Linked DNA regions of Elephas maximus indicus. The protein of the gene in region 2 purifies or fractionates together with the protein of the main gene of each other region. This does not show direct contact. Links are inferred from orthologs where the notes say so. Each region holds a gene or a part of one and is shown on either strand. Other genes may lie near its edges. The genes, in order: SAP30, ARID4B, SAP130 and SUDS3.

Region 1 (7,861 bases), on a different chromosome or scaffold from region 2:
CTTTCATTTTCATGTTTTCTGATGCTTTAAACATTAAAAAAAATTGTTCTTATATCTTTTATGAAGTTTCATAATGGGCTGTTTAGGGTTTACATTTAACACATGGGGGCTTTCACCTACCTCTGGAGTATCAATATCTTGAACAGGTGAGTCACCTCCATCATCATCACTCCCTTTTCTCTTTCTTCTGTTTCGAACACTCTGAATTAAGTTTTTATGATAATCACAAATGTAAAGATGCCTTGCCTGTAACAGAAAAGTTTCACCGACTGCTTATGATTACAGTAAAATGTTGTGTCTACATACCAATAAAACACACGGGCCACACTAAGTTATTAAAAATAACAGTCAACAGCAACACTGTTTCTGTAGGCCCTTCTTCCACCCTGCTAAAACTTAGAAGCCTGACAAACTTGGTAATACAACCACAGCTAATAGGACAGAGGGGGAGGGGTGCCAGACAGTGAAGGGAGGGAGGCAGAGAAAGAATGAGAAATTCCAACCCACTGAGTTTTGTCACCAAATTGTAGCTAGGGTGGACTGAATTAACTAGTTAGTTCACTGCTGGATTTTTAACTGACAAGGGGAAAGACGATGTTGTCCACAATTTTATTATCTGTTTGATAGTATCTTCTCTTTTTAAATAGCATATTTTAGTATATGCTTCCTGATTTTTTTTCTAACTTATCCAAATTATATCTCAGATACAAAAGCTACATTCATTTTACAAATGAGCTACTCATTTCATATTCTAACCATATATGAATTTCAATTACAAACTTTTCTTCCTGAGTATTTAAAAGAACCGTATTTATCTACAATGTTTTTCCAATCAAAGCAACCTGAAATTTTTCTATTCACCTGAAAAGTTTTTCATGAACACGACTTGAAGAACTGTTTCAGCCGGCAGAAAGTATCACAAATTAACTTTTCAAAAACTTTAATTACATACAGTCTTGAGAGCTGGACAGTAATATTTGAAATACTGGGCTTCATACATTGACAGTTCATTCCTTTAAAAAGAACGATTAGGGACGGAGCTATAGGCTTTTAAATCTCTTGCTAAGTGCAACTGAAAAAAATAAAGGAGGTGGGCTAGGTTCTGGCATCTTGTTATCCATATACCGTCAAGCCAGAGCTCCGAAAAGTGGCAATGGCTGTTTCTAAAAACCTCACGGATGGCCCGAGAATAGACGCGCAGAAAGAAGGGAAACAGAAATCCTGATGGCTGCCCAGCGGACGGACAGCCGAGAGGCGACGCGCTCCCCACGTTCGGAGCAGAAAACGCTCCCCACCCAGCTTCCCTGCTGGGCGGCGGGAGCGGGAGGGGGGCTCGGGTCCCCCCCCCCCCGGTGCTCCAGGGAACGCCATGGAGCCCAGAAACGAGCAGGATCGCCCTAGCGCGTGGGGCAAAGTCCTGCACGACCCCGCTTCCCCCAGACGAGAGCAACTGCTCCGCCGGCCCCACGCCAGCTCTGGGGACAAAACAAAGGCGCCTCCACGGCAGGAGGGGCTGCCGGGCCGCACGGAGCCCCCTCCCGGGCCCGGAGCGCCGGTGCCCTTTGTCTGGCTTCCCGGCCGCCCCGAGAGGAAGGAGGCGGGGAGCGCGCGGGAGAGGCGCGCGGAGGGCGGCGGCGGCCCGCGGCCAGCGTGCCCGTGTGCAGCCGGCCGTCTGCGCGTCCCGGGCGGCCGTCGGCGTCGCCGCCACCGTGTCGCCCGCTTCCTGCCGGAGATCTCACAACCGGCCCCGCCGTCACCAAGCCGCCCCGCCGCCCCGCGCGCCGCACGGCCCCCAGCCCGCCGCCCCCGCGGCACTTACGCTCTTGTCCAGCTCGATCTTCACCTTCTTCTGGGAGATGCTCTTCTGCACCCTCTTGCTGAAGCTGGCGTTGCCCGCCGCCCGGCTGCACCGCTCGCCGTCCTCCCGCAGACAGCACAGCTGCCCGGGGCCCGGCCCGGCCGCTCCCGGGGGCCCGGCCGCCGACACCGCCCCGGCGCCCGGCACCTCAGCCCCAGCGCCCACCCCGGCCCCGTTCCCAGCCGAGGCGGCGGCGGCGGCGGCGGCGGCGGCCACCACGGCAGCCACCGCGGCAGCCGCGTCCCCGCCGCGGCTCATCTCCTCAGGGGTGAAGCCGTTCATGTCTCCCCGCTCGGGGGCGCCGGCGCTGACAGAAATCCTCGGCCGCCTGGCCGCTGCTCCTCCCTCCTGGGGTGCTAGGGAGACAGCGGGGGCCCGGCCGGGTGTCGGGGAAGTTCACTGGGCACCGTGTCCGGCGGCGGCACCGCCAAGGGCCGAGCGTCCCGGGCCGGCTGGCGTCTGCTGGCGCCGGGACAGCGGACACTGTTTGTTCGGGACTCAGAGGCGGGCGGCGCCTGGAGCGGCGATCCCGTTCCCTGTCACATGCCGTCTTCAGCAGTTGGACGGCCGCGCCTCCGCCTCCCTGCAGCCCCCGGAGCCGCGCAGGCGCGACGCGCCTCCTTCCCCGCCCCCTCCACTCTGCCGCGGAGCACCACGGGGACTGTAGTTCTCTGCGGCGGAGTCAACCGGCGCTCCGCCCTGCCCCTGCCCGGGTCCCTCGCGAGTTGAAGGAACTACTTATCCCAGCATGCATCGCGCGGAGACGGGCCGGCTGAGGAAGCTCTCGGACTCTATTTTTGTTTTTCGAAACGCCGGGTAAACAGGGACGTGTAATTGGCGGTTACGGTGTTTTCTCCGCACTTGTCTCTCCTGGGAAGTTAGGCCGTGGTTAGCTCCTGGGATTTCGCGGAGTCAGTGGTGTGGCAGTGTACTGATCACACCTCCCGCGTCAGACCAAGCGGTCAGCCGACTCTTGAGGCAAAGCACAGCGGAGGCGGGAGGAGTAAGCCTGTGGGAGGGTGGGGAAGGGAACAGAGTTTCGGGGCCGCTTTCCTCGCTGTGGCCAACAGTTCTTGGTGTGACCGCGCTTTATGGGGAAACCTAAATCAAGGAGAACTCGGGCGTCCTGGTGCTTTCCGGGCCCTCGGGGGAGAGCAGCCCCATCCATTCACGCACCCAATTAACAGGGCATCTGCTGCTCGGTGGAGAACGCCCATCCCTACCCCTCGCCCTTGACCGGTCCTCCTCACAAATGCCTCACTGAAGGCCGTGTCTAAACCCTGCTACATTCCTGCAAGGAACACGTTTGGGTTTGGGGCTCACTAAGTCAGCTGCTTCGTGATGTGGGGCCACTGACAAGCTGACAGTAGCAGGGCTGCTCTTCACCGACACCTCCAATCCTTTCCATTTCTCCTCCGATGGATCCGGAAAAGGGCGGCGTCTAAGAGAATGTGAAACCAACGGCAAAGCCAAGGCGGCTGGCCGGCTCCTCAGGAACTTGCCAGCGTTAGCTCCCCGGAGTGCGAGGGGAAATGGAAACCACATCCCTGGGTCGTCCCGGCGCGCGTGCACGTGCGCGCGTGTAAGGGCGTGTATGTGGGTGCGTGCGTGTGTGCGCGTCTGCATGCGGAGGGCGGGGTACAGGATGGGAGGGCTGACACGAAAGCTGCGGCTTTACAGTGACTTCGTTACAGCGCTTCCTGTATCAGCAGATACGCCTTGTCTAACGATCCCAGTGTTTATATAAAAATACTTAATATTTCAGACAGGACTTCTTTTTGAAAGTTCTCTTAGACTTACTACATTGAATGAAAGACGATTTTTAAAAAATGTTTGAAAATGCTCTCTACGTTGTTATTCAAAGCCGTCTTTTCATGTGTAGTATTTCAGTTCCAGGATATGGGAAAGGAAAAAAAAAAGTAAATAAACTGAGTGGGAAAAAGGAAGATGCTGAATAAGCACTTGGTGTTTTTTAAGCTGCACTGTCCAATAGGGTAGCCACTAACCATATATAGCTATTGAGCGGTTTGTGGTTATTGCGACTGAAAAACGAACTTAATTTAAATTTAAATACTGACGCGAATCAGTTAATGGAAAAATGTTTAGTATCTCTGGAACTTAGATAAATGTGTCCTTTCAACTTAAATTTTAAGAAAATTAAATATAGCATCTAAATTGAGATGTGCTGTAAGTTTACACTACACGCTGGATTTTTTTTTCTTTTTGTTGTGCTATAAGTTTTTGTAAGTGAAAGTTTAGAAATCAAGTCAGTCTCTCATACAAAAATTTATATACACCTTGCTATATACTCCTAGTTTCTCTCCCCCTAATGAGACAGCACACTCTGTCTCTCCACCCTGTATTCCAGTGTCCATTCAGCCAGCTTCTGTCCCCCTCTGCCTTCTCATCTCCCCTCCAGACAGGAGCTGCCCACATAGTCTCATGTGTCTGCTTGAGCCCAGAAGCTCACTCCTCACCAGTATCATTTTCTATGTTATAGTCCAGTCCAATCCCTGTCTGAAGAGTTGGTTTAGGGAATGGTTCCTGCCTTGGGCTAACAGGAAGCTCTGGGGGCATGACCTCCAGGGTCCTTCTAGTCTCAGTCAGGCCATTAAGTCTGGTCTTTTTACAGAATTTAAGGTCTGCATCCCACTGCTCTTCTGCTCCATCAGGGATTCTCTGTTGTGTTCCCTGTCAGGTCATACACACTGGATTTTAAACACTAGGTACAAAAAAAAAGAATATTGAATAGTCCGTTAATAATTTTTACATTGATTACATGTTGAAATGATAATATTTTTTGATATACTGGTTAAATAAAATATATTAAATTAATTTGATCTATTTCTTTTTTTAATGTGCTACTCGACAGCAGTGGGGTTTACTAGAATATTTAAAATTACACATATTGGTCACATTGTACTTCTATTAGACAACACTGTTTTCAAAGTATTAAAGCATACTGTTTATGGATATATTTTCTTAAATGGTAAAAAGGAGGACATATGAATGGATGGATACACCCCAGCTCAGGATGGTGGTCACATCTTGGGAGGGAGACCAAGGGATAGTATCTGGGAATGACTGTTACAGATTGAATTGTGTCCCCCCTCAAAATACATGTTGGGGTCCTAACTCTATACCTGTGGATGTAGTCACATTTGGGAATAGGGTTTTCTTTGCTGTCAGTGTAGGGTGTGTCTTAAAAAGAACAGATCAGACACAGAGACAAGCAAGTATACATGGAGGAAAGATAGATGCCATGTGGAGATCACCAACGGACCAAGACTAGAGAAGCTGAGACAAGGATTTTTCCCCAGAAAAGACAGCCTTCCCCTAGAGCTGGTGCCCTGGATTTGGACTTCTAACCTAGTTTGGGAATTGTGAGAAAATAAGCTTCTGTTTGTTAAAACCACCTACTTGTGGTATTTTTGTTACAGCACTAAGAAAGTAAGACAATCTTAAAGGCAATTTCTGCTGTATTTGTAAGTATATATATATAGCAAAGATAATAGTGGGATATTGGGTTTTAACCTTTTTCCTTATAATGTATTTTAAAAATAATTCACATTTAAAAAAAATTCATGGTATTGTTTAGTTCTTGCTCTTACAAGCTTGTAATTTATCTTCTGTAAAATGTGACCAAATCAGTTCACGTATGTATGTATGGGTTAGTTATGTATCAGTTTTACATGAACTTTACTAAAGTCAAGAATTGTGGCTATACCTCCTTTATACACAATACAGTATTTTTTCTAAAATATCCAATTAAACACTCGTTTATTGCATATTGCATACTAGGATCTTTTTTCTGTGGTATCGCTGGTTCAGTGGTACAACTCATCTTCCATGAGGGAGACCCACTTTGATTCGTGACCAAAGACCTCCTGCAGCCATCACACATCTGGCAGCGGAGGCTTTCCCGTTGCTAGTACGCTGCATAAGTTTCAGCAGAACTTTCAGACTAAGATGGACTGGGTAGAAAGGCCTAGCGATCTACTTCTGAAAAATTAGCCAGTGAAAACCCTACTGATCACAATGATCGGATCCATAACCGATCGTGGAGATGGTCCAGGACCGCACAACATTTTGTCCCATTGTGCATGGGGTTACTCCACAGCAGGCAACAACAATAGGATCTTTTCTAAGTCCCTGGTGATAGAAAAAGAGTTGGGAGAGGGTCTTAGCCATTTTGGCGCTCACCTGTTACTAGGGGAGACGGCTTGACAAGCACGTTTCAAAAGAGCATGATACAGGCCTTCATAGAATTAGAGAAAAAGTATAGACATAGCACCTAGGAGAGAATGATTAATCTCTGGTAAGTAGAAAGGACTCCTAGAGTAAGTGACATGTAAATTCTTACTACCAGGTTTAAAGTACCTCTTCAATAAATTTTTCATGATTAACATATTTCATTATTTATTTTATAAATTTCATATGCAGGGTGGGGACTCCTTGCTTCAAGTGTAATTCCAAGTCAAGGTTGGAATCAGATTTTAGGGGACCTCAAGCTTATATAATTTGAGGAGCCCTCTTTAAGTAAAAGCATATAAAATTATCAATGCAAAATTAGGTACCCACTGTCCTGGAGTCGATTCCAACTCATAGCGATCCTATAGGTCAGAGTAGAACTGCCCCATATGGTTTCCAAGGCCGTAATCTTTACTGAAGCAACCACCACATATTTCTTTTGCTGAGGGCTAGTGGGTTCCAACTGCCCACCTCTCGCTGAGCGCTTAACCACTGCACCACTGGGGCAAAATTAGGTACAGAGCTTGAAAAGGATCTGTCCAAGTGAGGAACAGATTCATGGGCCTGCAACCAGTGCAGCCAAACAGAGCCCCACGCTCTGAAAGGCCCTTCTCCCTGTGTACTGCACTGCCCACCCCCTTGGGGTTTAATCTCTACAATCACTATCATGAACTTCTTTATAATTTTATCTTTGTGTTTGTGTTTTACAAATGAAGTCTAATGGAACACTGGAGGAGGAGCTGGGGCTTGAAGCCCTAGATTACTCCAGGTAGCTGATGAACCAGTCAGCTTCCCACAGCGTCCCTGCTTTTCTCCACCCTCCCCTCCAGTATCGGTCTGATCCACAAGCACCATCACCAGGAGTGTTGGTCTGGTAAGCAGGCTCCTCCCCACCCCTGCCCTCACACTGAGTCACAGAGCAGGGCTCTGGACCCCCGTAAAGCTCTGCATTCAACCTGTAAGAAACCCTGTGTCCATTAAAAAGAATCAATAAAAGATAAGAAAACATCATGACAGGCCCAGAGAGAGACTGTGGAAGAGAGGAAAAAGAATTTTTCTCCTGCGTTTTGAACAAGAGGCCCCACATTTTCATTTTTCACTGGGCCCCTTAATTACATAGTCAGCCTTGATTGACAGCCCAGAAGGCCCCCATCATAAACCCCCTCTCCCTTCTATCATTCTATGGTATTTACTATGACACTTTTCATTATAATTTTACCATATTTACCCCTAAAAATATTTTTTTTAGTTTTGCCTGTTCTTGAACTTTATATAAGTAGAACTATGTAGTCTGTATTCTGATATCTTTGGCTTAATTCACTCTGGTTGTAAGACTATACTTGTATATAGTTTAACTAACTCTTTTCATTATAGTAAATATTCCATTGTATGAATAAACTACAATTTTGTTATCTATTCTATTGTTGATGGAAGGAGCCCTGGTGTCACAGCAGTTAGCCGTCGGCTGTTAACCAAAAAGCAGTTTGAACCCACCAGCTGCTCCCAGGGAAACACCTGGCGATCTGCTCCCATAAAGATTACAGCCTAGGAAACTCCTGTGGGGCAGTTCTACTTTGTCACACATGGGTAATAACAACAAAAACATTATTGATGGACATATGGCTTGGTTTCAGTTTAGGGCTATTGAAAGCAATGTTGCCATGGAGTTTTTGTACATGTACCCTGATATACATGTGCTTGCAGTTCAGTGGAACCCTGGTGGCTCAGTGGTTAAGAGCTTAGCTGCTAATC
Region 2 (8,337 bases):
AATAACTTTTTCCTTTTAATATTACTGATTTTTTTAAGCAGATAAGAATGGAAATGTTGAGCACTTAAAATTAACAGTTCTAAAATAATACCAAAAAATTTGCATTTGCCTAATACTATGAAACTTTTAAGGCTAAAATTTCCAATATACTTTCATTTTTTTAAACAGACAAGTGAAAAAAAAAAAAGAAAGAAAAAGAAATGTTAAATCTAAACACCTTCAACCTCCCACATTTCTCTTAACCAAACATTTACAGAGAACCTAAGATGTGTCAAGCACTCCTTTGGGAACTGGGACAGATGACACTTATTCTAAACTAAACCCGTATTACTGAGCTCCTCAACTTCACATATTATTCAAACCAACAGTTTTCTTAAAAAATTCTTGTCCAACACTAAGGAAGATATACGGTTTTCCTAATAAATCCACTTTTCACCGTTTTACACAGGTCACAGGAGTTGGAGCTACTATCTGCAACTAACAAAAGATTCATTTCGGAAACATCACTGATACAGGAACTGAGCAGATAAAAACTGTTCCATGTAGGAGTTTACAGCACCCAAACTCAAGGAAAAAACCGATCTGGGCTCACAGAGAAGTCTGTAGCAGATACAAACGTCTCAACAGCCACAGATTTTACTTTCTTCTATAAACACAAGCATTACAAATTTTAATCCAGATGCAGTACTGTAAAACCGGTCTTGATTTCGAAGTGAAATACATTCTTAAAAATAATTCATCAAAGGAACACTCAAAAGTAAATGACAGTTACACTTTAACATATTATCTGTTCCATTTCTACACTTGTGAACACACTCTACCCTTTTCAAGCATTTCTCAGTATGCACCGGATGAAAAAAACATCTGCTAACCTCAAAATTCCACCAGTTGAATCTAGACATTTCAGATATCTAAGGCTTTTTATTCTCGAGTGTATTTTAAAAAATCAGACAGCATTCAATTACAGATTCTCTAAACCGAAAAACCACCACCTGTACTTTTATTGTTATCATTTCTTCCATCAATTAAGCAAACTGTACTTTTCAGACACCGTCATCCTCCATTCAGCTAACCTGTTTACATTTAAGAGAAACCTGGCCATCAATTTTCCACACATCACAAAGCAATACAGCATCGGACAATTTACAGACAAATTGGATCAATAAAGGAAAATAAAACACATAAGTCCCTAGAAATACAAGGAACAACTGCTATCTCTGAACTGTGGAAAGATCACCAAAATTCTCTTTGAAAACCTTTCAATCAAGATTATTTTCTCGCTAATGAAATAGATTTTCTGCTAAAAATTCGCAATACCGTTCAACAATAAATAAGATTTTCTTTCATCACTGTAACCGACAGAACCACAACAGTTCAGTTTCTAGAAACCGATTACTTGACCTGCTTTTTCAGTTCTACGTTTTAAAACATTCTAATTCGTGCAGTTATTCCTGTCCCTCCCTGCAAAAGGAGATGTTCTACCTAGAAGAATCACCCTCACTGACTCCAACTCACGGGCCCAAGTGTCCAGGCGGCAGCAAAGCCTCTGAGATGTAGCGATCCACGCCAGCTGACCCCCATCGTCTCCCGCGGAAAGGCATGGGCACCAAGCCACCAAACACACCTTCCTCTGCAAAACTCGGAGGCCCGACACGACGACCTCGGGCAAATCCCCTACTTCCTGAGTTCTACCCCCCAGAGGTTTGTTTTCAGTAGCCAATCTTACCTTCATTGTGATTCCGGGGCCGCGATCCCCTCGAAAACACCAGATTCACCTGCACCTGGAGGGGAAACAAAAGACCCCCGATCAGCACTTCAGACCCCCCCTTTGCGCCGGCAAAGACGCAGGGGACAGAGTAAAGCCTCAGCCCCGACACCTTTAAACGCTGATTCGGGGCTCCTTCTGGCCCCACCGTCCCCCCAAGGCCAGCCACCTACACCGCTCGGCAGCTTCCCGTCCCCATTGTCAGGACCCGACGGAGTTTCCCGTCTCCGACAATGACGCCATTTCTGTCAGAGAAGAAACTCACAACAAGCCCGGAGTCCGGCGCCGAGTCGCCTGCCCTCCCAGCGGCGCCTCCTCGCCCCGCCGCGCTGCTCCTCTGCCCTGAGGGCCCCGCAGCCCCGCGTCGGAGCCGAAGAGCGGCCGGCCCGGAGGAGGAGACCGAGAGGGGCGCGGAAGAAGTCCGGCCGACCCGAGGGGCCGCGCGCGGCAGGGCTCCCCCTCCCCCCAGGAGCCTCTGCCCGCGGCCCGTTCCTGGGCCGGGGACCCTGCGAAGCGGGAGCAAGACCACCACCTGCCCACACCGCGGGGGACAGCGTGAGGACCGGAGACCTCGGACGGAGCCCCCCCCGGCCGGGCCCCCCACCGCGGCCGAGGGCCGCTAAACCGCTGAGTCTGCGGCCGCTCGGCCATGGGCGATTCGGGCTCCGCAATTGCGGTGGGGGGGGGGGCGGAGGCTCCCGGGAAAAAGAGGCCCCGAATTCGGGAGCCCGCTGAGAGACCACCACGGCGATCTCCCTCCTGCTCCTCGACCGGGCCCCGTGACTCCCAAAAGGCTCCCTTACGAGACCCCAAAAGCCCCCAAAATGTCCCTACCTTTCTCAGAGGCGAGATCTGACCCTGGCACGTCCAGAGTCCCCTCCCTTCCTCCTCCCCCCCAAAAACCAGCAGGCCCGGGAGAGAGATGGGGGAAGAAGGGCGGCAGGTCCAGCGGTTGCTGAGGCTGAGGCTCCGGCTCCTCCTCCTCCCGCGGCGGCGACTGGTACCTTTGTTTGGCGGCCGCTCGGGCTCCCTCGCTGGGGGGGAGGGGGAAGACGAAAAATCCCTCTCGGACTGGAGGTCCGGGTCCCCAATCGCACTGCCCTCCAGAGGACGGCAGCAGTGGACCCTCTGTAGCTCTCACCGGGCAAAGGACCAGGCAGTGGCCGTGGTAGCCGCAAGCTTAAGCTCGCAGTCACCCTCCGCTCCGGCGCCCGAGCTGCTCACTCCGGACTCGACTGACGGGCAAACATCGCTTCCCCCACCAACCTCAGGTCCCCCCCCCCCCGCTTCTCCTCTCCTTTCACCCCGCCCCTTGGTTTTTCTCCCCTCCCCTACCTCTTTCCCGGATGGCCTCTTAGACGACCTCGGATTGGCTAGAGTTACTTAGAGCCCGCCTATACCTTCTTCTTATTGGTCTCTGCGATACAAACACCGACGCCATTTTCCCACCAGTTCTATGGAAACAGAAAGTTATGCCTCAAAGTTTCCGGGGAAATGTAGTCCAGCCTCTGAGGTCAATGCGCAAGCCCCTAGTCCAGAGAACTGCAACACCCGCAATGCCCCGCGCCTGCGAGAGACGGGAGGGGGAGAAAGGGGCGGGTGCGACAAAGCAGTGGGGAGGCGGCAACGACGCCTGCGCAGTGTGACCGGGATGGCGCATTTTCTTGCACCGAGTAATGCGGGGTCGCTGGCTGCTGAGGAGGGCGGAGAATTCTGTGAAGTAGGGGAGGGCCTCAAGTAGGCGTCGGGAGGAGCCGTGGTCTGAACTATAAAGTGGGAAGTTAATGCTGGGTACAGCTACTACCGGACCGGCGGCGTGAAAGTCGTGATATCATCGTTTAACCGTGAGCGGCAGCGGTGGCGGCTGGGGGGAACCCGGATGGTGAAGAGGGCGGGGGAGGCGGGGCTCAGAGAGGAAAGAAAGGGGGGCGAGGACCCGGATGCTGAACCGGATTGTGTATTTTCCATCTTTTCGGTTGAGACCCGGCAGAGTGAGGCGGCAGAGAGCAGGAGAGCGGGGAGGAAGCAGAAACCTAAAGACCCCTGTGCTAGGCAGAGTAAAGATTTGAAGTTCTTTTACCTAGATTTTGTTGAAAATCTGCCTCAAAGTTATTTATATCCCCTGCCTATATCTGTCAGGTGATTTTCTTCAGCCCCATCGTTCCCCGAGGACTTGGGTGGAAGGATTCATGCTGCGCTTCACATTTGTATGTCTCTAATTTAGCAACTCTGAAACCAGACGCTTTCCTTAAAAAAAAAAAAGCGTGATATTTTCACTTTTAATGCGCAAATTTGTGCCCTCATTTGCTCCTGTAGCGCGTTAAAAGGCACTTTCCATGCATCGGTCCTTCACATATTGATTGAGCCCCTATCATATGGAAAAGCTGGTATGGTGCCCAACCTCATGGACCTAAGTAGTGAGACAGACTAAGCATTAAATAAAATGGACACACAACTTGCTGTAAAATTGCGACTGCGGTAAGTGCTACAGAGAAAAGTTGCATGGTGATGTGAGAATTTGTAGTAGGGAATTTGGTTTACGGAGATAAGGGAAGGCTTTTCGAGCAAGTGAGGATTGAGCTGAGAGCTGATGGGTTAGCAGACGTTAGTTAATTAAGGAAACAAAAAACATTACAGACAGAAGGCATTAACATGTTGCAAAGCTTTAGGAGCTTTTCCAGTATGGGGCTGGGGCGGGGGGAAACCTTATAACCTTACAGGCTTTGTTAAAGAGTTTTGTTCTTATCCTAAAAGTAATGCGGTATCATTGAAGGATTCGCATCCCGACGGGTAATAAGATCAGATTTGAATTTTGCAAAGATCACTGACTGAAGAGTAGAGGACTAGACAAGCCACCGAATGCAGGGAGCCCAACCAGGAGGTCATTGCAGTAGTAGTCCACACGGAGGAGAGAGTCTGTTGTTCATATTAATTTTCATTGATCCACATTTTGAACAGATTTAAGGCAGTTTTTCAGTTTTGAAAGTGAGGAGTAGTTTGAGAGTCTCACAGAGGTATTCTGTAGTTACTCACCCGAAAATAAAGTAGTAGAATTCATGTAACACACTAATGTCTCTTTTACATTTAAGTCTAGTACTGGTAACTGAAATATCCAACTGTGACAAATTGGAGTTCTTTGAGTAAAAAAAAAGGCGGGGGGGGGAAGGGGCAGACAGGTCAGACCGTATGCCACAATGCATTGCCACAGTCCATAATACTACTTCGACTCTGAAGAAGATACAAGACTTGGATTTTCAGTACTTAAAAAATTGAGGTTCCTGTGTTTTCCTGCTGCTGAGGATAATTGTGTATAAAAATCCTTCTGGGAAAGGAAGATTGACTTATTTGTTGAATATTCTTTTACTTCTCTGAATAAGCAAAGAACACCTTTTTGAAATGTATAACTAGTATTTTAAATTGAGAACTAGCATCAACCAAAGCACTAAGAATTGAAACAAAGGTTAGCTCTCATTTCTAGATCAATAACAGTTGCAATGTTATTGATCCAGACAGAAACGAAAAAGAACTCTTGAAATTTAGTTTCATTGATTTTTAAGTTTAATGGGTTTTTGGAGGCTGTGAAAAAGTTACAGACATGATTTTTGTTCTCAACCTAGTTGGGAAGAGATGGCTAACTGGTTAAATAGAGAAATGGATGAGAGATGCTTTTCGAATTGTTTTAATTCTCTTCAATAATCTTTTACCTAAGCAATTATTGTACCTGTTTAGGAAGAATTGGCATTTTTCTGTGATCTCTAAGAATGAGATAATCTGTATCAAAGCCAGAGATAGCTGTCAAACAGTATGGGTAATAGGTTACTAATTTGGCATTCGAATCATTTCAAAATACTTTCTGAGCATTTTTAACCTTGTGACCCCAAAAGCTCCCCAAAATACTAATACTTAGTATTAATTGCTAGTCAAGGTAGATACAGAAATTTTCTGTCTGGAACGCTTCTCTATTCAGATTGCAAAATGATTTCCTGGTGAAGTGCTGATTTTGTTTGTTTCACAAAGATGATCAAGGATAAACTACAAAAACACAGCTTTCAAACCTACAGAGTAACCTAAACTATATACTATTTTCATGTTTTTATTTCCAGTTGTAATCTGCTCTCGGTAGGAGTTAAACTTTTTTTTTTTTTAATTTATGTCAGCTGCTTTATACTTCATGTAGACATGCATATTTGTTTAGCGTTAAAGATTAAGATACTCTGTAGCTGTGGATATTCATCAGGGGCACATATAAAGGATTCGGGGGGTACATGATCTCTGAGAAATTATATGTAGAGTTTTGTGGTGTGTGTATATCTTTATGTGGGTATGTTCACATATATGCAAGGTTGGTTGGTTGGTTTTTTTGAGGAGGAAAATTCATAGCTTTCATCAGATTCTCAATGTTTCTTCAACCCATGCTTGTTTTACACTACATGGAAGCATGAAAGCCCTTGTACAGTTGATGATAATCTGTGGGTATTATTAGTCAGCCTTCGACACGTGCTTTCCACATGCCTAATACTGCATAAGAATGTAGGTATTTTATTCTTTTCTCCTATTGCCATGTTACACATTTCATTCTACTGCAGAAAAATAAGTACATGATAAGAGAATGTGGTTCAATCCTTTTACCCTTGTATTAGTTGCCTATCAAGAAACAGAGTACATTAGGTACCAGACTTTCACTGCTTAAGGTGGTCCTTAAGGAAGACAAAAGAAGAATTGATGCCTTTGAATTATGGTGTTGGCAAAGAATATCGAATATACCATGGCCCGCCAGAAGAACGAACAAATGTGTCTTGGAATATGTACAGCCAGAATGCTCCTTAGAAGCAAGGGTGGCAAGACTTCGTCTTACGTCCTTTGAACATGTTATCAGGAGGGACCAGTCCTAGAGAAGGACATCATGCTTAGTAGAGTAGATGGTCAGTGAAAAAGAGGAAGACCCTCAGTGAGGTGGATTGACACAGTGGCTATGTCAGCGGGCTCAACATAGCAATAATTGTGAGACTGGCACAGGACTGGGCAGTGTTTTGTTCTATTGTACATGGGGTTGCTATGAATCAGAACTGACTCGGTGGCACCTAACAGCAGCAACAAGAACGTGGTCTTAGCTCTACTGAGCTTTTAATCGTACTGGTACGGTGAAATGTCAGCACTAATAATGAGATTTTGGAAATTGTTTTACTTTTGTGGTCACTTTGTCAGCATTTACTTCAAGATTTTCAGATTTGCTCACCAGCATGAATACAAACCAGTATGTTATGTACTGAAATAGGTGAAAAGACTTGTACTTCGGCATCAGATGAGTTCTGCCCTCCTAAGTATTTTTTACTTTTCTAATTTAATGCCAGGAAGGAGAAACAGAACTAGAATTCCCTTGTCTCAGTGAGTGTGAATGATGAGGTCATAGTCTGAGATGACTGGGTTATAAAAGATGGAGTTTAGTATTAAACATTATGAAGTTAGTAAGACTACTTTAGAAATTGAAGAACACATCCTGAGTCTTTTACAACAAAAAACACCACCACACCTTCTTTGGTTATATCGTGGTATGATGGAAAAACCAGTTGTCATCAAGGCGACTCCGACTCACAGTGATCTCATATGTTCCACAGTACAACTGTGCTCTGTAGAGTTTTCAGTGGCCGTTTTTTTAGCAGCATAGCCATGCCTTTCTTCCTAGGTAACTCTCAGTGAATTTGAACCTCCAACCTTTTATTTAGCAGTAGACCATGTTAAGATATAATGGGCCAGAACTAATTGCCATCAAGTCAGTTCCAACTTACGGTGATCCTTTGTGTTTCAGAGTAGAACTGCTCTCCACAGGATTGTCATGGTTGTGACCTGGTGGTACAGTGGTTAAAGCTCTGGGCTGCTAACCGAAAGGCCAGCGGTTCAAACCCACCAGCCGCCCCGCAGGCAGAAGATGTGGCAGTCTGCTTCCAAGCCTTGCAGTTCTACTTTGTCCCATAGGATCACCATGAGTAGGAATCGACTCGACAGCAGTGGGATTGGTTTTTGGTTTGACCTTTCAGAAGCAACTGCTAGGCCTTTCTTCCCAGGTGCCTCTGGGTAGCTTTTAACTGCCAGCCTAGTGTTTATGCATTTGCACCACCCAGAGACTCCAAGGTATGATGGAAGCAACCTGTTAATCATCTCCAGTTCCCCTTTTCACGCTGTCTCGGCCATCTGCATCAGAGTCACACCACGTGCCATATTAAAAATGAAAGTTCCTAGTCCCCTGCCCAAACTTAGAGAATCGTAAAAAGACCTATGAATAGCCAAAACAGAAAGTATGTGAGCTCAACTTCATTTCCTTTATTCAAAAAAAGTGGCTGTCACTGAAACGAATGTAACTGTATGCTTTATTATCTTCAGCTTACTGAGAGAACTCTCTAAGGTGCCTTCCAATTCTGAAATTCCATTATGTGTGACTCTTTGAACAGCACTAATCATGAACTACAGTTAGATACTGTATTACAGTTAGTCTTGTTGTATCTGTAGTGCAGCTAAAAAAAATTGGTTAGGAGAGCACTAGTGATCCTAGACACCAAATCATAGTCCCAAGAAGC
Region 3 (7,341 bases), on a different chromosome or scaffold from region 2:
ATCAAACGACCCACACAAACTATAATGGTGTATGGTCAACATCATCTTAAAGAACTCAAGATACAATAAAGCTCTGAAACTCTGGTAGGTGCTTGAATACCTGAGGACAGTAGAAGGGACAGCTGGGGCACAAGAAGGTGTCTTCATCTCCAAACAGCACACTAAGATCAGTGGATGGGAATTCTAAATACTAGTAACAACAATGGGCAAAGCATCAGTTTTCCTTCCAATGTCCACTATGTGAGGTACTGGAGGCATGGATGAATAAAGCAGCAGAAACTGTCCCTAGTAACTAATAACAACTCAGATTTCATTCATGTACTGTGGGTTTTTTTTTAATTTTGATTGTGCTTTTAGTGAAAGTTTACGAGTCAGTCTCCCACACAAAAACTTATGTACACCTTGCTACGTATTCTCAATTGCTCTCCCCCTAAATGAGACAGCCCACTCCCTCCTTCCATATTCTCTTTTTGTATCCATTTCGCCAGCTTCTAACCCCTTCTACTCTCTCATCTCCCCTCCAGGCAGAAGATGTCGACATAGTCTTAAGTGTCCATCTGATCCAAGAAGCTCACTCCTCACCAGGATGCCTCTCCATCCCATTGCCCAGTCCAATCCCCGTCTGAAGAGTTGGCTTTCGGAATGGTTCCTGTCTTGGACCAACAGAGGGTCTGGGGGCCATGAGCACTGGGGTCCTTCTAGTCTGTCAGACCATTAAGTCTGGTCTTTTTATGAGAGTTTGGGGTCTGCATCCCACTGCTCTCCTGCTCCCTCAGGGGTTCTCTATTGTGTTCCCTCTTGTGGATGTTTTTGTAATTCTATTCAGCAAACACTTACTGAATGTCTCCTGGATAGAGAATACAAAGATAAGTCATTTATTTCCCTTCCTACTCCGGGGGAATAAAAGGCAGGCACAAATTAGTGCTGTAATAGAGATATTGAGGAAGTTCTATGGAAGTATCCTAGAGAGTAGGGGAAGGAGAGAAATGTGAGGAAGGTGTCTCAGTTACCCTAGTGCTGCTATAACAAAAATACCACAAGTGGATGGCTTTAACAAACAGAAATTTATTCTCTCATAGTTCAGAAGGCTAGAAGTTTAAATTCAGGGTGCCAGCTCCAAGGGAAGGGTTTCTCTCTGTGTCAGTTCTGCAGGAAGATCCTTGTCATAATATTCCCCTGCTCAACTATTTCAAGGAGATTCTCAGCACAGGGACCTGGGGTTCAATGGATGCACTCTGTTCCTGGCTCCACTTTCTTGGTGGTAGGAGGTCCCTCTGTCTCTCTGCTCGCTTCTCTCTTTTATATCTTGAAAGGGATTGACTCAAGACACAACCTAACCTTGTAGACTGAGTCCTGCCTCATTAACATGACTGCCTCTAATCCTGCCTCATTAACATCATGGAGGTAGGATTAACAACACATAGGAAAATGACACCAGATGAGAAATGGTGGAGAATCACACAATACTGGGAATCACGGCTTAGCCAAGTTGATACACAGTTTTGGGGGACACAATTCAATCCATAAAAAAAGGCTTCTTAGAGAATAATAATCACTTTCTTTCCAGTTAGGCATTACAGAATTGGCAGAACTCTAACTGATAGTTACTGAGGGTCGAGACCTATAGAAGACTTTTCAGGCTTCAGTAAAACCCTGGAAGACCAACTGTGGAGAACTGGTGAAAGCTGTTGTCGAGAGAGTATCCAGTGTTTGGAGAGGTAGAACGGGCTAAATTATTACAGTTTTTGGACACTAGATTTAATGGACTGGAATATATTATTAAATTATTGGAACATCATACGCAGATTAGTAATTTAGAAAAAGAACTCTCTGGAGAACAGGCTGCAAATAGGAAGATATTAGAGTGGGGGCAATATTAGTCTAATCAAGACAAGAAATGATGAAGCTTGGAGCCAGGGCTATGGAAGAGTTTGGAAAGGTGAAAAGGTACAAAATCAATCCAATATGGTGACTTTGGGTGATGGAAGAGTGGGAAACGAGTTGAAACCAAAGGCAGAAAGAATGGTGGTGCCCTTAACCAAGCCTAGGAACCAGGAGGAGTAGATAGGTGAAGCAAATCAAAGAAGTTTTTCAATATGTTAAGCTTGAGCGGCTTGTAACACAGCTACGTGAACTGGTACAGCGCTTGGAAATACATGTGAGCAATTCAAAGACAGGTCACCATACAGATAAAAAAAAAAATTGAGTCAATTAGAAGGAAGCATTTTAAATGGTTGGGAGTAGCATTAAAAGAGGTTTGGGGCCTTGGAGAGTGCCATATTTATGAGCAAAAAGAGATATAATGTAAAAGGAGTAGAAACAGGAGAGGGTGCGATTATGGAGGCCAGGGGAAGAACACCTTAAGTAGGAACACCTGTTCAGTAAACTAAACAAGAGGAGAACTAAGTAAGGATCACTGGATTTGGAGTAGGCCAGTGGCAACTTTTGGGGAGCAGTTTGAGAAGGGCGGTGGGAGCAGAATTCAACAATGAGACAGAGGAGGCTAAAGTATCTGATAGTCGTTACTTTTAGAAGAGGTTTGGGAATGAAGGGGAGAAAGTGAGAAAAGAAAGTGGCTTGAAGGAAGAGGGCAGGGTATCTCAGACTCATTCTTGCTGCCCTGAGCTACTGTCCTCCTAGCCAGCAGTTGTCTTGGCAGTGCATGATAGGAAGAAGGGATTTGAGCCCATTTATATCTTGACTAGGAAACCCTGGTGGCATGGTGGTTAAGAGCTAAGGCTGCAAACCAAAAGCTCAGCAGTTCAAATCCACCAGGCGCTCCTGAAAACTCTATGGGACAGTTCTACTCTGACCTTTGGATTGCTATGAGTCAGAATCAACTCGACGGCAGTGGGTATGGGTACATCTTGACTAAGGAGGCCTGGTGGCGCAATGATTAAGCACTAGGCTGCTAACCAAAAGGTTGGTTGCTAGCCACTCTGCAGGAGAAAAGACCTGACCATCTCCTCCCATACAGATCACAGCCTTGGAAACCCCATGGGGCAGTTCTGCTCTGTCATATACGGTCGCTCTGAGTGGAAATGGACTCGAAGACAATGGGTTTCGTTTTTTTGGTTATAGGGTGTCTATGAGTCGGGATGACTGGACGGCATCAACAACACAACAACAACACATCTTGACTAGTCACGAACCCCCCATACCTAAATTACCATCTGGGGAGGGAAAAAAAGATGGGGACTAATCTCTATTATTAAAAAATTATTAAGAGACATAAATTTTGCCTCAGCAGCTTTTGGCTACGACTTCCAGAGGTGTATAAACTCCAACCCTCCACCCCAACAAAAAAGAACCAAACAAAACCATCCTTCGATTCTGTATAATCCAGAAAAACGGAGCAGGTGCACAATGCCTCAGTTCTTTTTCAGGAGAGCCTCTCGGAGCAGACCTCTAACGGGGGCCCGGGCAAGCTGGGCAGGGTGTGCAGCTCAGGAGGCTGTGCGCCCGCCGCAGACTCCAGACGGTCGCTCAGTTCAGTGTGCACAATCCTCCCACGATGCCGGGGCTATTCTGGCCGTGGCCTTCGGGGGCGAGACCGAGTCCCCCAGGCGGCGCGGGGAGGCGGGCTCAGGAAAGCTCTCGGCCGCGCCTGCAACCCCGTCGGCCCGTTGCAGTTCAGCCTCCGTTACTCTTTTCCCGCGCCGCTCGCTTCTCCTCTCAGGAAAACGGAACCTAGTGCTGTCACGCTGGGGCACAGGGGAGGGGATTCACTATCTTCTCACACGGCGGAGAGGAGAGGCCCAAATACTCCAGACAGCAAAGCGGTGAACGGACCAGTCCCGGTTCGCCGAGAGGCCCCGCCCCGTCCCGGCACTCCCACCTCCTTCCCGGCCCGCCCTCTTGGCACCGAGGACTACATTTCCCAGAGGCCTCTGAGGCACCGAGGGGGCGGGCCCGCCTTCTCTCCACTCACACTGGGCGGTGACTGGCTTTCCCCGAGGGGGGCGGGGCGTTCCACAGCCAATAGACGGGAGGCTCGTTACGGCGGCGGAAGCAGCGGCGCTGGACTGAGGGGTGGGGGGTAGAGGGCTAGCGCTCCGGAGGCGGCGGCAGCGGGTCCGGAGCCGGAGGACGTCTGCCCCAGGGGCTGAGAGCGCAAAGGACTGAGCCCGAGGCGGCGCGGCGGCCACTAGGCGCAGGCACCTAGGTAATGGCGGGACGGGCGCCCGGGAGGCGAGGGGAGGAGACGAGGGGGCGGGGCGGCCGAACCGGGCTGCAGCGTTCGTCCGCGGCGCGTCCCCGGGGAAGGGCAGCTGTGCCTATCTCCTGCGGCTAGGACCCAGGCTATTTTGCGAGCTGGGCACGGCGGTTGGGCCGGCGACAGGGGTCGGGCGTCCCGGGGCAAGGAAGAGAGAGGCTCCCGGGAGGGGTGTGCTGAACCGGGCGTGGGGGCGTGGCGGGCTCGGGCCTGGGCGGGGAAGTGGAGGAGTCGGAGCTGCGGGCGGCGGCCGGCGGGCGGGCGGGCGGCCCGGGGAGTTTGGCTCCTGGAGCAGTTTAAAGTGACTCTCCACATCCGGGCCCTGCGCCCGCCGCTTTCAGACCCCGGCCGAGGCGGGGCCTGCCCGTGCCCCGCCCCCGTCACTGGGAGAGCTCGCCTTCCTCTGCCATTGGCTGCGGCTGGAGAGGTTTGGGGTGCCCCAGCGGGGCTCGCGCCTGATTGGCTGGCAGTCGGCGGGAGGGTGGGGCGGGACCAGAGCGCGCAGGCCGCTTTGGATTGGTGCCGGCCCTGGAGTGACGCGCGCGGTGTGGGGGCCAGTGGGCGGGCAAGGAGGGTAGGGGCAGGTCCGGGGTAATAGGACTGGGAGCCTTGCGGCGGCCGAGTGACTGGGTGAGTGGGGCCGGCTGGGCTGGACAGCGGCGTGCCCTCGGCGCGCTCCGCACGAGCCCTCTTCGCGCCCCCCGGAGACCCGCGCTGCCACCGGGATGGGCCCTCCACGGCACCCCCGGCCTGGTGAGATGAAAGCGGGAGGTGCGGGCGTCAGCTGCAGGTAAAGGGGCAGGCAGGTCGTCCTGGGGCTCCCCAGGATGCCGGCCCTCCCGGCGAGATGGAGCCTCAGAGACCCGAAGTTTCTGGAAACCTGTGTTTTCTTTGATCTCAGCGATGGGCTTGGCGATGGGGTAGGGTTACAGGCGAATCGGGGGAAATCAGTGGAGCTTGCCCGTAGGGGACGAGCGGAGGACGACTTGAATGGAGGCGGTGAAGGTCTTTGGTCCTTTTGGCTTAGTGGAGGAATATGAAAGAAGGGAAAAAAGGAAATCTGTCAGTAAAGGCCTTTGCCTTGTGAGAATTCTTTTTGGATCCAGTCTTGATGAAAGTTTCCTGATCCTTTCAGGAAAAGGCATCTCTGTCCCAAATCTCCTCTGTCATATTGACTATAGTTCTGTACACCTTGGTGTGAGGTTTAACTTTCAAAAAGACTTGTCATTCTCCATACAACTGCACAGATAGGTACATATGCATTCTGTTAGTACCTGCCATGTGGTTGTAGTACAGGATTCTATGTTGATTTTTTAATCACAGCAATCCGTAAGTATCTGTGGAGGATCATAGTATCTCACTAGTACCAAACCAAGCCAGTTGCCATCAAGTCGATTCCGACTCACAAGGAATAGGACAGAGTAGAATTGCCCCATAGAGTTTCCAAAGCTGTAAGCTTTACGGAAGCTGGCTGCCACATCTTACTCTCGTGGTTAGTATCCCACAGTGTTATACAAATGATTTTTATTATTAATTGAACATGTATACCTTAAAAACTTAGGTAATTTCAGTACTGTATGTCGATCACAAGTATTTTTTTTTAAATAATGTATTTACTAAGTGAAGATATCATGGGTCACTAAAGATGCTTTAATTTTCCGTTACTTTAACCTCAGAATCCGTCAATAACCATGTGACTGTATGTACTGCAGGTGGAAATGAGTTCTCAACAGTTTCCTCGTTTAGGAACCCCTTCCACTGGGTTGGGCCAAGCTCCTTCACAGATTTCAAACAGTGGCTCTGCAGGATTGATAAACCCAACTGCTACAGGTAAGATGTTTAACATTGTGCATTGCTTTCTGCATTAAGAGTATTGCTAGTTTTCTAATTTAAAAATTAGTAAATACCCTCTGGGGACTTAACAACAAAAAGACAAAGAACTTGATCAAAAAATATGCAGAGGACGTAGTTCACCAAAGCAGATGTTAAGATGGCCAACAAGCACATGAAAAGATGCTCAACATCTTTAGCCATTAGGGAGATGCTATCCAAACTACAGTGAGATACCACCTCACCCCCATCAGAATGACAATGATGCAAAAAAAAAAACAGAAAACAGCAATGTTGGCAAGATCCATTGAGAAGTTGGAACCCGCATCCTTTTGGGTGGGAATGTAAAATGGTGCAGCCACTCACTTACCTGGCTAATTCTTGTTCTTGAGCTTTCATCTCAGATGTCATCTCTGGGAAGTCTTTGCTAACAACAATTCAAGTTAGGACCTCCCCTAGACTGAAGGCTGCTCAGGGATTGGGACCATGCGTCTTTGAATGTACTATACGTAATAAAATACAGAGCACAAAGTAGTGGTCTGTAAGTTCTTACAGAGTGACTTAAAGCTCTTTTACTCCTTAACAAATATTTTTGACAGTCTTTGGGATAAATTCACAACAGAATAAAGGAACATAGCCGAAGATAATATTTGTGAACACTTTTTTTTTTTACAAGGAATTATGCTGCTTATTAAAAATGGAGTTAATTACTAATAATTGCCCCCAAACTTTGATGGCTCAATAAAAGGGAAATCATTGACTTAGACCAAAATTGTCTATAATTTTACTTCTGAAGAGTATATATGTATAAATGTTTATTCTTTAAATTGATCTTGAAAACAGAGTATAGAAGTTTTTCATAAATAGGTATTTATGTTTCCCATTTTTTTTAGAAGAGCCAATTTGGGATCCTAAGCTTGTGAGGATTTCAAGTGCATACTTAAAGTTAGGAAGTATGGATTAAAATGAAGTTAACTACTGCTTTAAGGTTCTTTTCTGGTAAAAATGAACTGCAGAATGTCCAGGAGGAGATGACAAATGGATCTTAAAAACAACTTAAGAGGAAATGATCACTACTTGTATATTAATGAAATAGAGACAAATCAAAGTCATTCTGGACAAATAGATTTTGAGGAAAGTTATGAAATTGTTTTCCTTGAGAATTAATTAGGGGAACATCTATTTGGATAATACCAAAAAAACCAAACCCATTGCTATCAAATTGATTCCAACTCATGACAGACCCCCATGTGTTACAGAGTGGAATGGCTTCATAGGGTTTCCTTGGTTCTCGC
Region 4 (8,402 bases), on a different chromosome or scaffold from region 2:
TGAAAGAGCTTGTGTTACTCACTGTTCCTTCATTTCTACATAGTCTTCTTCATCGTGTTTTGCCAGGTCAGTTTCACTAGCATCCTCAGTGTCTGAGTAAAATTAGGAAAGAAGGGTTAGTTAAATCATGAATCACAAAGTTAGTATCACCTGACACGGTGTAAGCACTTAATAAGCTTCTGTAAAATGAATTTCTACTCAGTGAAGGCCTATGTGAAGCCATCAATGAAAAACACTAAACACAGTTACCACAAAAAGAAAATGCCATTTCCAGCATACACAGCCAGAGGTATTCTCAGCGCATCCTTTATCTACAGTGCAGCCAGAGAACTGGGCACGTGAGACACAAGCAGTCATAGTCAAGGCTGCCACTTCTGCAGAAGCAAGAAAGATGGCAGTTCAGGAAAGGGAAATGTGGCTGTAAGGCTGGGAAACTGTAGGCAGTAGCCTTTCTCACTAGTCTAAAAAAAAACCAAATGTGGCCATCTCTTCTGGTACATGCCCAGTTTGACTCCTTAAGAGATCTGATGCCAGATACATACAACACACACACATACACAAAACAGTCGCTGTCAAGTCAGTTCTAACTCATAGTGGCCCCATGTGCTTCAGAGTAAAACTGTACTCCATAGTTTTTGGTGGCTGTGATCTTTAGCAAGATCACCAGGCCTTTCTTCCAAGGCACCTCTAGATGGATTCGAACCACCAACCTTTTGGTTGGTAGCCAACCGCTTAACCCTTTGTGCCACCCAGGAACTCTAAAGGATAAAAAGGAGAAGACAAAACAACTAATTGAATTCTGATAACTGAAATATTTTCAAAGTTGCAGCTACAGGGAACAGGAAGGAGGCAAGATGATCAAACAGAAACTGTTTCAAAACATTTTAAACATTGTTCTTAGAAAGAGCCAATGGCTGGGCTGTCTACATAATTTCAACAGCCCTACAGGAGCAGTTCAAATCCACCAGGCACTCCTTGGCAATTCTATGGGGCATTTCTACTCTGTCCTATAGGGTCACTGTGAGTGAAAATCGACCCGACAGCAATGGATTTGGGGTTTTGGCGGGGGGGTTTACTGGAGCCCTAGTGACGCAGTGGCTAACCGTTCGGCTGCTAACCAAAAAACGTCAGCAATGCGAATCCACCAGTTGCTCCCTGAAAACCCAACGGGGCAGTTCTACTCTGTCCTACCAGGTCACTCGACCTCAATGGGTTTGGTTTCTTACTGGAGGAAAAAAAATCCATTTTGGTTTCACCGCTCCCCCTAGTGGGTATTAAAAGCAGTGCAAGCGACTCATAATGAAAATCCCAGGTTACGGCTTGTCTTCTAGGGTACCCGAACCAAATCTGTAGAGCAGGCAAATAAACTCAAATTCAGGAAACTCAGCAGTCACCAGTGCAATCCAGAGAAGTGTGTCCTCAAAGAAGAAATAACCCTTTCTAGACTTTCAAAGTGTATCCTCCCCCGAAGACTCATAAAGTCATCAATCCAATTAGTCTCAAAGTCATCAATCCAATTGGTCTCTTCAACTTTGCAGATAACCTTTGGAAGGGCTACTGCAAGTCCAATTCTCCACAAACCCATCTGCCCTCCTTCAGTCAAAAGACCTTCAAGGAGCTCCTGTGACGTGCCAGCCAGCCAAGCTCCTGGGCCCCTGGGGGACTGAGATGAAGAAGGAATACTCCGCACCCCAGTCAGCCGGTCTAGCTTTTGCTCCACAGCCCCATATTGTTCCCGAATACTTCACCCATGGATTGGGCTCTTTTATCTCTTTCTTCTCCCTGCTCACGTCTCTTCACCTTTCTCCTCCAGACAGCCAGCACCCTCCTCAATTTCTTCCCCAAAACAGTGTTCCTCACACTTGCCAAACTGTAAAGCCCACTTTAAAAAGCAAGGCTCCACGAGACGACAACGCATAATGTGAAGTGCACGGAATTGAAAACACAACCCCTGGGCACCAGTAAGCAAATCCATATTTCTCCTCGTGCCTGTCTCCCCAGTGGGTGTAAAAAAATACAAAAAAATTCTCCTGTGTATTTACTGAGTACCAGGCCCTGGACCAAGTACTTCACGGACATATTTCATTCAAACCGCGTAACTACCCTAGGAGTAAGTACTACTACCAGCCCCCTTAAAGTTGGGAAACTGAGGCTCGGGAGCTTAGGGAAGTTGTTGAAGATCACAAAGTTGGGTTAAGTGACAGTCAAATTTAAACCTCAATCTGGCTGATTCCAAGTCCTGTTCTTTTAACCAACCTGTGTCTACAGTGCCCGAAATGGGGCTGATTTAGACATGGGGCGGGGCGGGGGGGGGGGCAAGTTAGGAACCAGGAAGCCAAACTCGGCTTTGCTCTAATCCTCTCAGGAACGAAAATGGAAGGGGGCGTATTCGATGCACTCCATGGGTGGGTTTCCCGTTCCATTCGGTGCAGACCCGAGGCTCCACTACGGACGGTTGGGGGTGGGAGGGAGAACCTTAAAGGGACCTCCGGCTCTGACAACATCTCCCTCCTCCCCGTAACTGTAGGGTACAACGTACCCCGGGATTTCCCCCTTCCCCAGCGCAGGTGAAGGTAACCACCCGGAGCCCCGTTCCCCCCAACCGCCCCCCTGGCCGGCCCTGCGCCCCCGGAGGTCGCCCTGCCCCTCTCCCATACACCCCGATCGCACCCCCGGGGTACCACCTCCGCCCCGGGCTACCAGGCGAGCAAGAGGACGCACCTTCGTCCGATTCGCGGCCCCGGCAGCTGCGCTCGTCGTCCTCGGCGCTCTCCAGCTCTTCCTCCTCCTCCGGGTAGTACTCCGGGGCCGGCGGCGCTCCAGCCGGGGCCGGGGCCGGAGCCAACAACCCCGCGGCACTCATGTCGCCCGCAGCAGCGGCAGCAGCAGCGTGTACCGCCGGGAGACCGCGGCCACCCGCCCCGGGGACTTGACGTCCACCTAGCAGAGCCCGAGGGGGCCGCCAACTCGAGCAGCGGGAGCCAAGGCGCCCCCACCTCCGTCTCCGCCGAGCTCCGCCCCCATCGCCCGCGCTCGGCAACGGGGGCCTCGCGCCGGCGGCGACTTCCGGGTCGCGAGCTGTCCGAGGACCGCCTGACTCCGCCATGCTTGAGGGAACGCGGCGAACGCTGCGACGCCTCCTTCGCCTAAGCACCAGCCCCTTCATCGCCGCCTAAAAATCCTCAACACTATGGTGCGAGAGAGCAGAGGCAGGATCGATCTCTAGAGTTAGGCAAATGTATGGACAGGCCTAGCTGCGGCCAGGACCCCGAAGCGCAGAGGCGACGTCCAGTAATAGCCGCCAGGCGGCGCCTGGAGCCGGAACTAAAGTGAGAGTCGTTAGCGTCCTAGGGGGACGGAGGATTTAAAGGACTGTTGGCAGGTGGAGGTGGGCTCTTTAATGTAAGCAGGTGAATCATATGAACCGTACCCTTTATAAGTCGGGAAACCCAAACATCCAGAGTTTGAGTGACCAGAAGGATGAGCCCAAGCCCTTCTCCTGACTCACTGGAGCTCTAACAACTAAAATAAAGGATGTTGATACTCCATCCTGGGTTCCGCAACAGTATTTTCTCAGCCCGTGGGAGCCATTTGTCTTTGTACAGGTTTATCCAAAAAAGGTGTTCACCTGGTTTTAGAGATAAGAAAGGATACATCACTTGCCTTAAAAAGTGGTTGCGTCCAGTCTGCCTTGTTTAGACTCCCAAACCCAGGCCCTCCAGAGTACAGTGGCTTCATATTTCCTCGAATACTGATATTTTAAAAGGTTATATTGCCCAATGCAATAACTTGCTAATCAACTCTCAAATAACCAAGTGGTGTATTTGCCTACAGAAAACTAATTTGGCTAAAGTAAGGAAGGTCCCTTGTGGGAACTCGGGAAACAAGAACGCTGACTGAAGTGGTAAATTAGTTTGTGTGATTCCCTCTGAGTAGAAGGCGATATAGTATTATGTTTTGGTTCATGTACAGATCTAGGGTATCCATTTTTCTGAGAGTCGTGTGTTCTAGTGTGTAGCAAGAAAAGGAATACGGAAAAGGGTCCAGAGATGTTTAACAGTTTCGCGAAAGCTAACAGAAAAACCCTAACCTAATTTATATTGCTACCCACGTCTCAGTAGAAAAAGTAATCTAAAAGTAGTAAAGTTAAACCCGTTACTAAAATCCCTTTCCGTACAGTCAATTCCAACCCCAATAGGTCACACTGCGACCGCCGCATAAGGTGTCAAAGGCTGTAAATCTTTTCTCCCTCTCAACTGCTGCTGTGTTCAAACCACCTACCCTTGGGTTAACAGCCAAGCACTTAACCACGGTGCCACCAAGGCTCCTAAAAGGCAAGCAGGAACAATAATATTCTGATTCTTAGATTCTCTGTAATCAGGTTTTTCTCTGAATTGGCCCCATCGTCTCTTAAAAATTAAAAACTTTATTCTCAACGCATTTAACTTTATTTTAATTTTATGTATTGTTTCAATTAAAATCTTGGCTCTATTTGTAAGAGATTTTTCCTCCCAACAAAACTCAACAATTTCCAGAATAGAATGCTGCCATATTTTTTAGTAGTCTGGGGGACTCAGGGATCTTCTTTTTTGTAAATAAGAATCATTCTTTGGCTGTAGGTCCGCCATCTATATTTAAATTAGAATTTCAGGGCTGTCTGTTGTCCAAAGAATGAAGTCGTTTTCTTTTTGTGTGCTGTTGGATCACATCTAAAATATTTGTAATCAACCATCTTGAGCAACTTGAGTTCCTATCAGTAGCAACAATCAGACCAAAAAAGCATCATGGAATGCTGCCCCGCCCTGCTCCATCTTCATAATTGTTGTTATGCTTCAGCCTATTATTGTAAACACAGTGCCAAGCCATCTCATTGAGGGTCTTCCTCTTTTTCGCACACCTCTACCTTCTCCTGATAACATTTCCAATATCCATGAGACAAAGTCTCACCATCCTCATTTCTAAGGAGCATTCTGGCTATACTTCTTCCAAGACAGGTTTGTTCGCTGTTTTGGCAGTCTATGGTATATTCAATATTCTTCACCAACTCCGTAATTCAAATGCATCAATTCTTCTTCAGTCTTCCTTATTTATTGTCCAGCTTTTGCATGCGTATTTTAAAAATTAGAGTTCTTTAAAATAGCAAAACATTCGAAAGCTGAAAACTGTATAAGGCAGAAACCTGTCAGAGAAGGGAAATGCAAGTATTTTCCACTAAAAGGAACAAAAGAAAAGTGGTAAGACTGCTCTCTATCAAAGGTGAAAAACTTTCTATTCCCAGAAAAACAAGGCAGTCCCGTCATTCCGGCTTTCACAGGTTTCACTGTATAATGAATTTCAAAAAAATAGACAATTTCATTTACAGTTGATTTCTTTTGTAGACACTGGGGTTTTTATCTTGCTGATGTTTTATTCCTATTTTTATCTTCCTGACTGTAAATAACATCTGTTGATTGTCATGCATTTCTTTTTATACGTAATGAACAGACACAACTGAACACTTGAGTGATGAAAACTTACCCCTACTGTCTTCTGTCCACGTTCCCTTCTGCAGAATTGGTAGGAAGAACTCAACTAATAAATGATCTTTAACGAATGGACACCTGGCAAAAAATTATGGTTTTGGTCTAACCCCACCTTTATAGTCATTTACTATGAAGACTATGGACGTAATTAAATTCCCTCAAAACCAAGTTCTACCTTCAAATCAGCTGTTTCCCCTCCCAAAATAGTACTCAGCCACTGCTTAGGAAACATCTACTATTTCAGAACTTGACTTAAAGTCCTGCTAGGTTTTTTTTTAGGCGTTTCCAGAATGCTTTGTGCCTCCAGGCCTCCTCTGCCTACTCTTAACACTGAAATTTAAAGAGGAGCATCATAACGGGGATAGGGCATGATTTATGACCACTAGGGAAACCATATGTATACGGATACATATGTATACAGGCCTTAGCCCTCAGAAAACTCTATATCATTAATTTTTTGTTTAAACTTCCGCTGACTGGACCAAAAGAATTGATAGAGTTTTCTGAGGGCTAAAGCCTGTATACATCTGACAAGGCTTATGATTCAAATACCTTCTCGAAATGAAATAATCTCTTCGTTAAACACTCGTTTGTCCAAGTCCTTAAGTTTACTTTGGAGCTCAGGGGTGAGGATAGCAGTTATCAGTATCCAGTATTGATGCGATCAACATATCCGGTTTCACAAAAATACAAGGAATGGCTCTGGGGTAACATAATGCACTTTCATCCCTGGCAGGCACACCTGGGTCAAGATGGGTCTCTGATTATCACAGGTTACTTGTGGGGTCAAAGTGCCTTATACTTTGCCCATTAGTTCAATCGGTAAAAATCTGAGTTTCTGGATAGGCTTGCCAGAGGCTTGCTAGAAGCTAACAAGGGTTCCCCTAACCCCCTAACACGGTTCCTGTCCTTACTGCTGTAATACCACAAGATCAAAACTCGCAAAGTGAATAAACCCACAAAGTATTTCTAAAGCTTCGTCCTTGTACCTATCAGAGTGTGCACCAGCAGGGCTGAACACTTAAGCACTGTATACATCTAGTATATAAAAAACTTTTTTTCCAGCAGCATTAAGCTGACTTGTCTTGAACGCAATGGAAAGAATGGCAATTCCCCTGCCAGAGAAATAAAAGGGTTTAAATCCAGAAAATATTTTGAAGTCCTAGGCGAATAAATGCCATATCAATTAACGGTATAATTACTGAGATAGCTGTGCAAGGGCTAGCAGGAGAATAGGGACATCTCCCAAGGCTCTACCTTGGTGGCCCCGGGCAGCCCAATGGGCCTTGGCCTCTGGGAGCCTCCCAGGAAAAGTTAAGGCGCTGGGAGGAGTGACATGAACTTTGACCTCCAAAGCAGCGCAAACAAGGCCGACCGCACCCCATCAAGCCCCATGAGTAACTGAAGTTACACCGTCTTCCGGGTTTGAGGACACCCCGCCCCGCCCCGGCCCGCCCTCTGTGGAATCCACCAATCGTCAGGTGCCATCGACAGCTCCGTTTCCCAGGCACCTTCAGTCAAGTACCTATATCTGGCCCCAGCCCTGTGCCTCGCGATCAGGGAAGGTCAGTAGAGAGCCTATCGGAGCCGAGCAGGGGCGTGGTCTGGAAGCTGGGGGCGGGCAGCCTGGGGAAGGTGGGGCGGAGCGCGCTCGGCGCAGTCGGGTGCGATTGGCCACCCCTGGCAGGAGCCGCACCTCGGACAGCAGCAGCGGCGGCGGCGGCCGCGATAGGGTCCGTGTGGCGCCCGGTGGCGGCGGCGGCAGCAGCGGCAGCAGCAGCAGCAGCAGCAGCAGCGGGGTTCTGCGTGCAAGAGTGGGACCCGACGCGAGGACTGGGGACGGAGAGTCTGTGCGGCCGAACCCGGCATTCAGCGACCGGACCCAGGGATCCTCCGGGGGACAAGCCGCAAAAGAGCGACTCGGGAACAAGTGTGAGAGAGGAAGCGACGGCGGCGGCGACGCCGGGCCCGGGGGCGGTGACAGCAGATCTGAGGTGAGAGCACCGGGGCGCGGAGCGGTGACAGCGCGAACCAAGGCGAGGGAACCACGGGTAGAGTGAGGTCAGCCAGGACCTGGGTGAGGGGAGCTCCGGGAGGGGCTTTGACAGGACCGACTGAGGAGACGAGACCCCGAGAGGGGCCGGGACAGCGGGTCTGCGGGGAGGGGACCCCGAGAGGGGCCGGGACAGCAGGCGTGAGAGCAAAGTACCTCGGCTGGGGGCCGGGAGAGAGGATCTGAGAGGAGGGCTCCGCGGAAGGGACCGGGACAGCGGGGCTGAGGAGAGGTCCCCGCGAGGGGACAAGAACAGAGTCTGAAGAGGGAACTCCGCGAGGGGCCGGGACGGTGGGTCTGAGGGAAGGGGTCCCTGAGGGGAGTTAGGGCGGAGAGTGAGGGAAGGGTACTCCGAGTGGGGCCGGGACGGCCAATCTGAGGGGAGAGGTCCCCGACAGGGGACAGGAACAGCGAGCTTGAAGACAGGGGACCCCGAGAGGGGCCGCGACAACAGGTCTGAGGTGAAGGGCTCTCGAAGGGGGCTCCTGGGCGCGGCGGTGAGGGGGACCCTGCGGGCCGCGGGTCTGGTCCCCGGGGACGAACGCGCCGCCGCTGAGCAGCCTGAAGCTGCGTCCCCGAGGAGGGGGACCCGCGGGGCCGCCGACCGGGGTGAGACCACCGGGAGGGCTCGGCGGGAGCCTGGGCTGGGGTCGCTGTGACGGGCGGGAAGGGGGCAGACGGCGGCGCGGAGGAGGGCCAGGGGCGCTGGGGCTCCGGGGGTCCGAAATGGGCCAGGTCGTCTAAGGGGTCCTGTGTGAGACGCGGGGTGGGCCGAGCCCCGGGTGACTCTGTGACAGAGGGATTATGTAATGAAACGTCTCCCAGGT

The links.
Region 1: the proteins of ARID4B (region 2) and SAP30 purify together in Homo sapiens (affinity purification with mass spectrometry; 5 studies listed by BioGRID and IntAct, with this or other methods). This does not show direct contact. The link is inferred for Elephas maximus indicus from reciprocal best matches to the Homo sapiens genes ARID4B and SAP30.
Region 3: the proteins of ARID4B (region 2) and SAP130 fractionate together in Homo sapiens (co-fractionation; 4 studies listed by BioGRID, with this or other methods). This does not show direct contact. The link is inferred for Elephas maximus indicus from reciprocal best matches to the Homo sapiens genes ARID4B and SAP130.
Region 4: the proteins of ARID4B (region 2) and SUDS3 purify together in Homo sapiens (affinity purification with western blotting; 3 studies listed by BioGRID, with this or other methods). This does not show direct contact. The link is inferred for Elephas maximus indicus from reciprocal best matches to the Homo sapiens genes ARID4B and SUDS3.

Annotation. Positions count from the first base shown.
Region 1 is NC_064839.1:69,620,650-69,628,510, reverse strand, and holds the start of SAP30 (histone deacetylase complex subunit SAP30), read right to left. Parts: upstream 3,421-7,861; 5' UTR 3,182-3,420; exon of another isoform or gene 2,868-3,181; 5' UTR 2,141-2,867; coding exon 1,820-2,140; intron 247-1,819; coding exon 121-246; intron 1-120. UniProt on the Homo sapiens protein: Involved in the functional recruitment of the Sin3-histone deacetylase complex (HDAC) to a specific subset of N-CoR corepressor complexes. Capable of transcription repression by N-CoR.
Region 2 is NC_064842.1:28,988,596-28,996,932, reverse strand, and holds the start of ARID4B (AT-rich interactive domain-containing protein 4B), read right to left. Parts: upstream 3,032-8,337; 5' UTR 2,907-3,031; exon of another isoform or gene 2,600-2,906; intron 1,782-2,599; 5' UTR 1,733-1,781; coding exon 1,727-1,732; intron 1-1,726. UniProt on the Homo sapiens protein: Acts as a transcriptional repressor. May function in the assembly and/or enzymatic activity of the Sin3A corepressor complex or in mediating interactions between the complex and other regulatory complexes.
Region 3 is NC_064824.1:15,803,838-15,811,178, reverse strand, and holds the start of SAP130 (histone deacetylase complex subunit SAP130), read left to right. Parts: upstream 1-4,016; 5' UTR 4,017-4,165; intron 4,166-4,795; exon of another isoform or gene 4,796-4,969; intron 4,970-5,928; 5' UTR 5,929-5,934; coding exon 5,935-6,046; intron 6,047-7,341. UniProt on the Homo sapiens protein: Acts as a transcriptional repressor. May function in the assembly and/or enzymatic activity of the mSin3A corepressor complex or in mediating interactions between the complex and other regulatory complexes.
Region 4 is NC_064840.1:15,881,984-15,890,385, reverse strand, and holds the start of SUDS3 (sin3 histone deacetylase corepressor complex component SDS3), read right to left. Parts: upstream 3,049-8,402; 5' UTR 2,864-3,048; coding exon 2,722-2,863; intron 93-2,721; coding exon 23-92; intron 1-22.